2 linked regions of the Caenorhabditis elegans genome follow. The protein of the gene in region 2 interacts with the protein of the main gene of each other region in a pairwise test. Each region holds a gene or a part of one and is shown on either strand. Other genes may lie near its edges. The genes, in order: gras-1 and wrt-6.

The links.
Region 1: the proteins of wrt-6 (region 2) and gras-1 interact in a two-hybrid assay, tested with the Caenorhabditis elegans proteins (one large-scale study listed by BioGRID).

What each region holds. Positions count from the first base shown.
Region 1 is NC_003279.8:7,834,172-7,837,776, reverse strand, and holds gras-1 (General receptor for phosphoinositides 1-associated scaffold protein 1 homolog), read right to left. Parts: upstream 1,970-3,605; 5' UTR 1,951-1,969; coding exon 1,843-1,950; intron 1,792-1,842; coding exon 1,575-1,791; intron 1,526-1,574; coding exon 1,286-1,525; intron 1,238-1,285; coding exon 1,065-1,237; 3' UTR 810-1,064; downstream 1-809. Other genes in the region: F30F8.9 (Letm1 RBD domain-containing protein), read right to left, coding at 58-173, 428-549, 637-713; F30F8.1 (RING-type domain-containing protein), read left to right, coding at 2,436-2,532, 2,578-2,666, 2,712-2,963, 3,009-3,185, 3,230-3,544, 3,593-3,605.
Region 2 is NC_003284.9:3,478,131-3,484,250, reverse strand, and holds wrt-6 (Warthog protein 6 N-product), read right to left. Parts: upstream 4,002-6,120; 5' UTR 3,998-4,001; coding exon 3,862-3,997; intron 3,816-3,861; coding exon 3,742-3,815; intron 2,724-3,741; coding exon 2,464-2,723; intron 2,411-2,463; coding exon 2,355-2,410; intron 2,299-2,354; coding exon 2,091-2,298; intron 2,040-2,090; coding exon 1,939-2,039; intron 1,879-1,938; coding exon 1,832-1,878; intron 1,765-1,831; coding exon 1,507-1,764; intron 1,456-1,506; coding exon 1,166-1,455; intron 1,120-1,165; coding exon 768-1,119; 3' UTR 585-767; downstream 1-584. UniProt on the Caenorhabditis elegans protein: Intercellular signal essential for a variety of patterning events during development.

The sequences.
Region 1 (3,605 bases), on a different chromosome or scaffold from region 2:
GTCTATTCATGAAGAAAAAGAACAACGAATAGACCCTTTTCCGTAGTTTATTTCTACCTGAACAAGTGTCTCCAATTCCTCAACGCTGAGATCTGTGAGCTTCTTCTGACCGGTAGCCACAGCTCGTTTCGTCTTGAAATACATTTTCACATCGGCAAAGCACCATCGAGAGCCTGAATATATGATTCACAAGATGATATTGTAATCTTACACGATTTTGGCATTCCTTCATGAAGGTGTACGGATTTATTCAGATGAGTCACGGGGCGAAGTTTAAGTTGCCATAAACTTTGCGCCGAGACCCATCTGAATAAATCCGTGCGACTTTAAGAGAGCATGTCAAGATCTCTGAATAAAAATAAAAAAGATCAGAAAATGTCATTTTTGAATTTCAAAAGTAAGTAAGTTAATCGGAGAACTCCCTCACCTTCAAGAACAGTCCTGTGAAGTGCCAACACTTTAGGCCATTTTCCAATAAATTGTTCATACTTGTAGGTCAAGGATCCTTCTTTAGCTGGAGTGGCTGGAGGTGGACCGGCTGATGTTTGTCTGAAGTAGAACACATTTTTTAGAGGGATAATATTGAATTTAACGGATACTCAGAATAAAACAGGTTTTAATGATGAAAAGGTCTACCTAACAGCAACAAGAAAAGTAGGCGAATTGAGCACACTGTTACTGCGATGAAGAAGAATCCTTGACAATGAGTGCATCTGTTTGAAAAAAAGTAGTTTTGTCAAGGAAAAACAAACGAAAAAGTAGAAAAGGCACAGAACCTCATGGATAATTGAAATAATTGTGTCAGGAATAGTAGATAAAACTTCATGTTATTTCCTGAAACTAATAGTATAACAGGCAGGCTAGAATCATAACCATGATCACAGGTTTGTGGGAATCAAAATGACTGGAATGGGAATAAAATGGCAAATTTTGGGCGGAGACAGGAAGTTAAAATACATATATGTACAACTATGTACCAGGGATCGAAATATATAATTAGAGTATACATGTTTACCCATGAGTGTTCAGAGATAAACGTGAAAATATGAAAGACATTGATTTTACTAGAGACGCGTGACTTGGGGAGTTCCAACAGACGTGCTACTGTTGATGCGAATGAGATGGCGATAATCAGTGCCGTTTGCTTCCTTTTCTTGTGGATTTTGTACATTTTTTAGCTCCTCATCAAGTTCGTAAAGCGTGCTTTCAAGTGATTCGTCTTCCTCCTCATTGCCATCTAAAATTGTTACAAATAATCAAAATAATAACCGTAAACTCGACTTACGTTCATCGTCATATAATGCTTGCAAATCTTCTTCCGTCTTTTCGAGCATCCTCAATTCTCTAATTTTTGCATCGAGCATGAATCGTAACTGAATCGACCGCATGCTCAATTCCACGATTCTTGCTACATCTTTGAAGACCAGAACGAGACTGACTTGAAGACACTGAGCAATTGATTCGACGATTTCTGCATGGGAGGCAGTGACGACGCTTTTTTCATTGACAGCAATGACCATGTCGCCTAAAATTGCAGTAGTTGGCAGGAAAAGCTGAATTAAATGATTGAATACCTCGTGTTATCCCGCAGCGATCAGCTGGGCTATCAGCCGACACGTAATCCACATAAGTTATTCTTTCGTAACTGTTTGAAGATGTTCTTTTGAATACATATGATTGGAGAGCAAAGCCAAAGGAAGTTTCAAATGTTTGACGACATAGAAGAAGGCTCCGTTGTGCGGATTCTTGATTGATCCCATCGAAAAGATAATCATTCAGTGGATATTCTTCCTGTAGTAACGAATATTATGGTTGTTCTTCAATGGAGAATCAAATAATTACTTTTGCGTCACACAATAGTCGCTGTTCAGAAATATTGTCATCCGGCGTATCATATTTTGAAGAGCTCGAACTCGTGGAAACCGCACTATGAGCGTCGATGTGATCCATAAAAGCAGAAACTCTGAAATAACATATATTAAACAAAAAAACATGTTTTTAGAGTTTTTTAAATGTTTAAACAACACAAGACTCGAAACAAAGTCGATAAGTTGTAAAATTGGTGAGAAGATGAAAGGAAAAGCTAGAGACGAGAAACATGTACGCAAGCGCCAGATTCGACGCGCAAAGTTTATAATGGGAAATTCGGTAATAACTTTAGAAGAAAGCATATAAAATTATTAAACTTAAGTAAAAAGTGACTAAAACACAATCATCATGCAAAAAAATAAACGACTAAAAGACCAAACAAATGACTAGCGCGTGCGCACCTTTTCTTATTTGTTGTTGAAATATATGAAGGTTACGGTATTTACTGAAACACGCAAACACATGACACGCTTTCGAAATTTCAGCTTTCGAAAACTCGTTCCTAAATACTTTTCCTACTTTTGTGAAAATTCCCTTGATTTTTGTCAAAATAAGGATCATTCGCGATGAATGATTCTTATGCTGAATATATAGCACAAGTAAATGAGTTTACGAGGAATTTCTGTATGAATCCTCAGCGATATCTCGCTGGTAATCAGAGAGGTTTGTGGAAACTTTTAATGACCTAAGTTTCAAGTCGATTTTCAGATTTATCCCAGCCGCTTCCTCCACCTGTACTCTCTGGTGAAGCAGTTCTACCAACCAGTACTTCTGTTCCTCAGCAAATCGCGCAAACGGTTTTACTTTGTTTTCATATTCTGATTGATAAAATATGTTTCCAGAACATGGTTCGCTCAAGTGAAGTACCACCTCAATCTCTTCGACAGGAAATTCAATCATTTACATCGTCAGAGGTGCCCACTAGTAGTCAAGTTGCTGGAGTGAGAAACTCGTTCACACAAAGGCTTCTCCCAATCCAAGAATTGTCGAATTCCGAATCTGTCCCAGCCTTAGATACTGCGCTTGTTCCTTCCAGTTCCACTTTGGCAGCTTCATCACAACGTCGTCTTTCATCTCAATCAATTCCTGTCCTGGTTGGTTTTAACTTTTAATTCCCGTTTAATGAATTTTATTGACAGACACGCAAACTCGGTTCAGTTCAGCCTAAAGTGGATGAAGCTCCAGCTGAAATTATAAGAGAAGTGAACAACTTAAATATTCATCATGGAGCCAACAATCAGGGTGAAGTTCCGTCTTCCGAGTTGAACGCTGATCTCGATGGGGTTTTTGAAATGGTCCAGCGTCATCAGTTCCCGGTAAATTAGAGCTTTGCAGTTCTCTCAAAATTTTTTAGTTGCAGCGTCCAAGTGTATTGATTCCAGCAGAACAAATTGAACAAAGTACATGGCTTTCTGAGTCAAATGATGCTGCTATTAACATTTCTCAAAACAATGACGTCATCGATCCAAATAAAACAATACCATTCATTGCCAGCGGAAAGAGTATTGAAAACATTGATCTTCCATATCTTCCGGGTCAAACGGTTTTTCCTAACATGTTCACTGAATTAACTGCTCGTCTACGTTCCCAAGAGAGGGAAGAACTTCTCCGGCGAGAGTTGAATGAACTTAGTATGAATCAAGGAACATCAAATCAGTTTGATCAACAGCAAATGGTTTAAAAAAATTAAGAAAATGGGATTTAAATTAAATTCATTTTTTAGAATTCTCGTGTCA
Region 2 (6,120 bases):
GTTTACTATAACCTTTGGCCATTTTGGCACCCTATACATGATTTTTAACAAAGTCCTCACTGGCGCAACTATACGTTTAATTTATAATTACTACTTTAATGAATTTCACATAATATTTCAAAAATATTTAAGTGTCTAGTTCGACAATCCTTTTAATGCTTCCCAAAAAGACACACGAGATATCATCTTTGAACATGTATCGTATGTTTTTTTACGACTGTAAGACTAATTTTTGAAAGCTCAATAATTGTTACCAATTCTTACCAATTGTTACCAGTTACCAATTTTTCTTGAAAACTTAACTAGATATAGTTTAAACAAGGAAAAATATGTACATACTTCTTCAATATTTCATCATCAATTTGAACACTTTTAAGTTTCATTTGTCCAAAAAATGACAAGTTTTCTGAAGTTTAAATAAAGTATTGCTTACAGCAAAAAGATTGATGCAAGACTATTAGAAGCTGCAAGACAAGAAAAATTTTCGATTAACCCGTAGTGGTGCAAGACTAATAGAGGAAGTACGGTACCTTATTTTTTGTAGGCTCTGAAAATGGAAAGCAAAATAAGGAAACATAAAGTGTTTGTACTCAATAAGTTATGTTTATTTTACAACATGGCAAGGCGACAGTGAAAGAAAGCAGCTGCAACCAAATGCACAATTCAACCGCATATTTTAACATCATTGCATAAAAAGCATAAGCAAGAAAAACATTATTAAACAACGTACAATTATTATAAACTTATACATATTAACTGATTAGTAATCATACAAATGATTGAGGAATAAACAAGTCCATGACACTTGTTAAAGTTTCGACTCCAACTGGAAGATCTCCCTCTTCTGTGGAGGATTTGAAGAACATCAAATTATGGAAAACACTTGAAGTACGTTTGTAGAGTGAGAAGAAAGTTTGTTGAAGTGACTTCAACGCCAAGTTGGAATGACAAGAAGCCAGAACTCGGTTGACAATAATATCTCCGGTGGAAGTAAGTGGAGAGTAGATTCCAGTTTCGATGACCTTGCTGATTTTGGATACCTTTTTCTTGATGACGACATTGCTGTCTGTGGTGACGTGAATGCAATCATCCATTTTGACTTCTTTCGCGGCGACCAATCTGGATAATTATTAGTTTACTTGTTGTTAAATCATTAATTTCTTACTTTAAGTCGGATCTAGTACGGCAGTCAGACACGTAGATCAAATGATTATCGGTCAGTTTAATTGAGTGACCATTGGCTGTTTCTATGAGATTGAATTCCGCGATCTCTTCATCCCGTTTGTGTAAAAACATGATAACGGGCGAATACGTCACAAAAGCCTCGTCCATGCTGAGAACCTTGTCGCCAATCTTGAGATCCTTGATCATCTTGATTCCGTCTTCTGTCTCTACCTCCATATCTCCGGAAAAACACTGCATGCCAGTTCCACCGAACAGCCCATTCAAATTCGGCTGAAGAATGACGTTATTTTTAAAATGAATTAAAATTGTTAATTAAAATACCGAGTATCCTCTTGCACTGTATGCTGGTTGATATGCTGGTTGGTAGGCTGGCTGGTAGGCTGGTTGATAGGCCGGTTGGTAGGCCGGTTGATATGCTGGTTGCTGCATTGCAGGGTACGCATTGTATTGACTTGCATCAGCAGTTGGATAACCACTATACGATCCAGAATATGAACCTGATTGAGGTGGCAGAGGCATTTCTGCTGGAGTCTGTGGGTAGGCTGGCGATTGAACGACAGGCGAAGCTGGGGCAACATTCTGCGACTAGAAAGTTAGTACTAGTAGAATTAGTTGACATTAGATGTATGGGTTAGTCTAAACTCACGTCAATGTAGTTGGAGCTCGGTGGTGGAGGAAGCGGCCCGGATTCTACTGAAGAATCACCATAGTTAGAAAGAGCGGCAGTTCCGTCTTGCATTGTCGTTAACAAACCTGTTTCTTTGTTGTACGTGTTGTCGGCAAATGTGCGGGAACGTTGTGGCGAGGAGTATTGCAGTGGCCAAAGAGCATTCTCGTTGTATGGAAGGCGGCTTCTTAAATTGGAAAATTTTTCGGCTTAAATAAAAATGCCGGATAAAATTTACTTTCTGAATGGTCGTCTCACAACTCGGAATTCGTAATCGTAATCATCATACATATCTTCGAGTCTTTGAAGGAGGGCACGTCTTCTCATTGCAAACGGACGTCTTCTCTCAGAGCGATAGTTTCTGTCTTCCTCATAATCATCGTATTTTCCAACTCTATCACGAAGCTTTCTTCTGTTTCTTGAAAGCAATGGAAGAGCTTCCTCGCCTGAAAACAGTGAAGCTTAAAATTGCAAAAATATTTCAAAATTTCAAAAAATTTACTTGAATCGGAGGTGGCTTCACAAGGCATGCGGTAGACACCAACAATATATTGAACTCTGAAATAAGAAACTTTGTTCCAAAAATACCCGATCATTTAAATTTCTCTTACTGATTATCTGCGTTGACAGTCTTCCTAATCTCCTTGATAAGATCGAATCCTGATTGCTCTCCATCCTTTTCCACCATTCCTCCTACAAACGATTGTCCTGGTCCAAGGAAGATGCTCTTGATTGTTTTCGCATCAGACATTCCTTCGTACGAACAACACTCGGTTTTCAATGTTCTATGTGTTCCGTTATTGATTTCCACAAGCCCAGAAGTCCATTGCAGGTCTTTGACGCAGACAATCTCCTTGAAAGGGTCGCAACTCTGGAAAAATATTCCAATGCTATACATCATTCAATCAAGTTTTATTATACTACGCCCGCCAAAAGTTTTTTCGGTCAACGACGACTCATCCGGAGGAACGATTCCGGTCATAGTGTTTCATGTACTTCTAATCTCGCATCGCAATTAATTGGCTTGCATACGTAGCTTGTTTGGTACGCTTGACGTCGTCACAATTAAAATAGGAACATCAAAAAAGATGAATAGGCTTCGGCCGAGACGAATCGGGCGAAGATTCAGTTAGCCACTTTAATTGGATAAGTCTCAAAGATCGTAAAGCTTAATGGGTGAAAGAAACATCCTTACATTCAAACAAGACACATTCGGGATGTATAATCAACGGGCGCACTGATCTAAGATAAAGCGATGATGTGAGAAAAATCGGAGATGGTGACAAATATATAGGTACGGTATGGATAAGATATTGAACCAATAGCAAGAAGCTTTGCAAAAAATTTTGTAGGATGCAATTCATCAATGTATTGAGACCCAAAAAAACTGAAATTTCGATGTTTTTTTTCTGAAACAGTTGTCTATGTTTTCTCTTCTATGAAAGTATTAGCTCTAACTACGTTTTCAAAATGTTTCTTCTTACAGAATAATTTTAATATTCTTCATATGTTTTAGCTTTTTTCTCTGCGATTTCTTCAAGGCTTCTATTTTTGTAATGAGTTCGGCGTTACTTCAAATAGATTTTTTAAATTGGGTTTGAAATGTTCAGAAAGCAAAAACCATAGTTTTCCAATTTTAGTTTAGATTATAGTTTTTTTTAAATTAGAATTGCGTCCTTATTGAATTTTTTTTTGAATGGTTTAGCTTTTCCATCTGTTAATTTCTACGAAATTGACTTTTTTTTAATGGCCGCTCTATTTTTCTTAATCGCACAAAATTATAGAGCCACTTACAGTCCAAGGATTATGTCCCCGAAAGAGTTTCTCTAAATAATCGATTTCTTAATAATTTTACTGCTAGGCGCCTAGGTCTTTCAAGTATCTCTCACCACATCCAAAACTCTTGGGCGTCTTGCTGCAGAGCTTGAAACTCCAAGGCAGGATGGCGCTTCACATGATATAACTGAAATGGATAATTTTTTGAGATGCTCTGGAAAATTAGTAAATACCTGGTTTTCCTTCGCTGTCTACTTCCATTTTGTAAGGAATTGAATTCGTACCACAAGATCCACCATCATGAATGGAATCCGCCAAAACTGCTCCAAATAGTAGGCAGAAACAATAAAACAAGTTGAGTAATGTCATTCTGGAAACAGAACAGCATACATATATATATTTTTGTTCTTATTGGAACGTTAATAATACAAGGATTTTAAAAGTCAGAATATTTTTAGCTTGAGCAATAAAATTTGGAAGACAATTTTCAAAAAAAGTGAAACGAAGAGAACTGGATAGTTTGGAACAAGAAGAAGAAAAAGAAAAAGACAATGAATAGAGTTGAATGAAGAAATCCGACGACACCGTGTAATTGTTGGATTACGGTGTTAAACCCAGCGGAGGGCAGGAAAAGGAGGCTGGGCGAATGAGGTCGGGATATGCAAGGTGGAAAAATTGCCAAAACATCCAACATGGCAAAACTACAGCTCTGGTCACTTTTATACGTTGGGAAGATACAAGCACCTCCCACCTCCTCGTTTTCCCGGTTTCCACTAATTTCAGCGCGTTTTTATGAATTAGTCCAGAAGATTGCCTTGTCTTCCCGCATCCGCCCGCCCACTTCTTCGTCCCGCCAAGATTTCTTCAGGAGGGGGGAGGGGAGGGCGAATCTGCACCTCTCCATTGGGAATCGCAAAGTCCGAAATAATTTCTCTATGTATGTGTATACTTTAGTTGCGGTCAATTTTGAAGAAGCATCGTGATGAGTGGATACAAGGTATGGAGGATATACAGCGAGAACGAAATCATTTTTGTATTTGAAGTGACTGCGATTGTAGGCGATGTGCGGGGGATTGAAGGAAAAGGAGAACAAGATCAGGGTTGTCGAAAAACTGAATCAAATCGGACTTGGTCAAGTACCTTGTTGAGTAGGTCAAGATATTGAAAACTGTGTATATTTTCTACAAGACATAAATGAACAATGCAAAAATATCAATACGCTTTTGTGTACCTTTTGGAAGATTTTTGTGATTCAAAGTTTTTACAACAGTTGAAATTGCTAAAAATTTTAATTTCTTTGTTTGGCAGCTCATATCACCAGACAAATCATTTGTGAATCATTTTTTTATAGTTGATATCTGTAAAATAAAAAGAAACTTAAGGTGTCAACAGGAAGTAATAAAGAACACTAATAGCGTAAAATAGTGTTGCATTAGTTTTTGAAGTTTTCCTCAGGTTTGTAAACTATTTAAAACAAGAAATGTGGTTAATTAAAATGCACGAACTTTTCCGCGAATTCTGGCAACTTTCCAACCTAATTTAGCAACTTTTTTTTTTTTTTTTTTTTTTTTTTTAATTTTAGCTATTTTTAATAATAAAAAATTTAGCAATCTTAACCTAGCTAACTTTCAGTAATTTTAAGTGCGCACTTTATCCTCAACTTCAACCAACTTTACACAAATGTTAGAACGGCACACACAATTTTGAAACAAATTAAAATTTTATTCATTTGCCAATTTGTTTATTTCCTTTAAACATGATATGCATTTTACTTCATTAAGCTAAGTGATGATTATTTCTTAAACCTGGGAATACAAAAAACTCCAGACGTTTTTATTTTTTATGACTTAAAATTTTAGATTTTTAATAAATAGGCAAATAGATATATATTGGTACTTGATGCCCACATTTTTAAAATAATTTGCTAATTTAAAAAAGATACAAATGTGTGGAATATGTTTTCTAATTCAAGGCTTTGGAAAAACCAACTCTAGTACTAAAAGTACCTTTCTTAATTGGAATATAGATGAAAATTAATTGATTTATTTAGTTTTAACATTGTCTAAAACACAATTACGGCAAATAAAGTTTCAGCCCTTTAAAGATACATTTTTATGGCATTTACTTCAAAATATATTTAAAATGCATGGTGGAAATACACATTCATTACGAAGATTATGATGTTTGTCTGTGCCCAAATATGCTTGACATATCAGTTTAAAGAAACTAGCTGCATTTTTTTTTGGACAGTACCAAAGTTCTGTGCTAAATCCAATTAAGCAATAAATTGCAGTTTTCACAGTACAAAATTTACGACAGTGTATCAGAGATTCCTTGTCTGATCCAGTTCGAACTGCAGAAAAAATTTGCCAGAACGATCGGAGTGCCAAAAAAACTTCAATAACACGACAAGACAAAGAACAAGCTTTGGGTCCAACTTCATGCAGAACATGATCTTTCGTTCTCCCTCGCCGTGTGATAACGTCATCAAA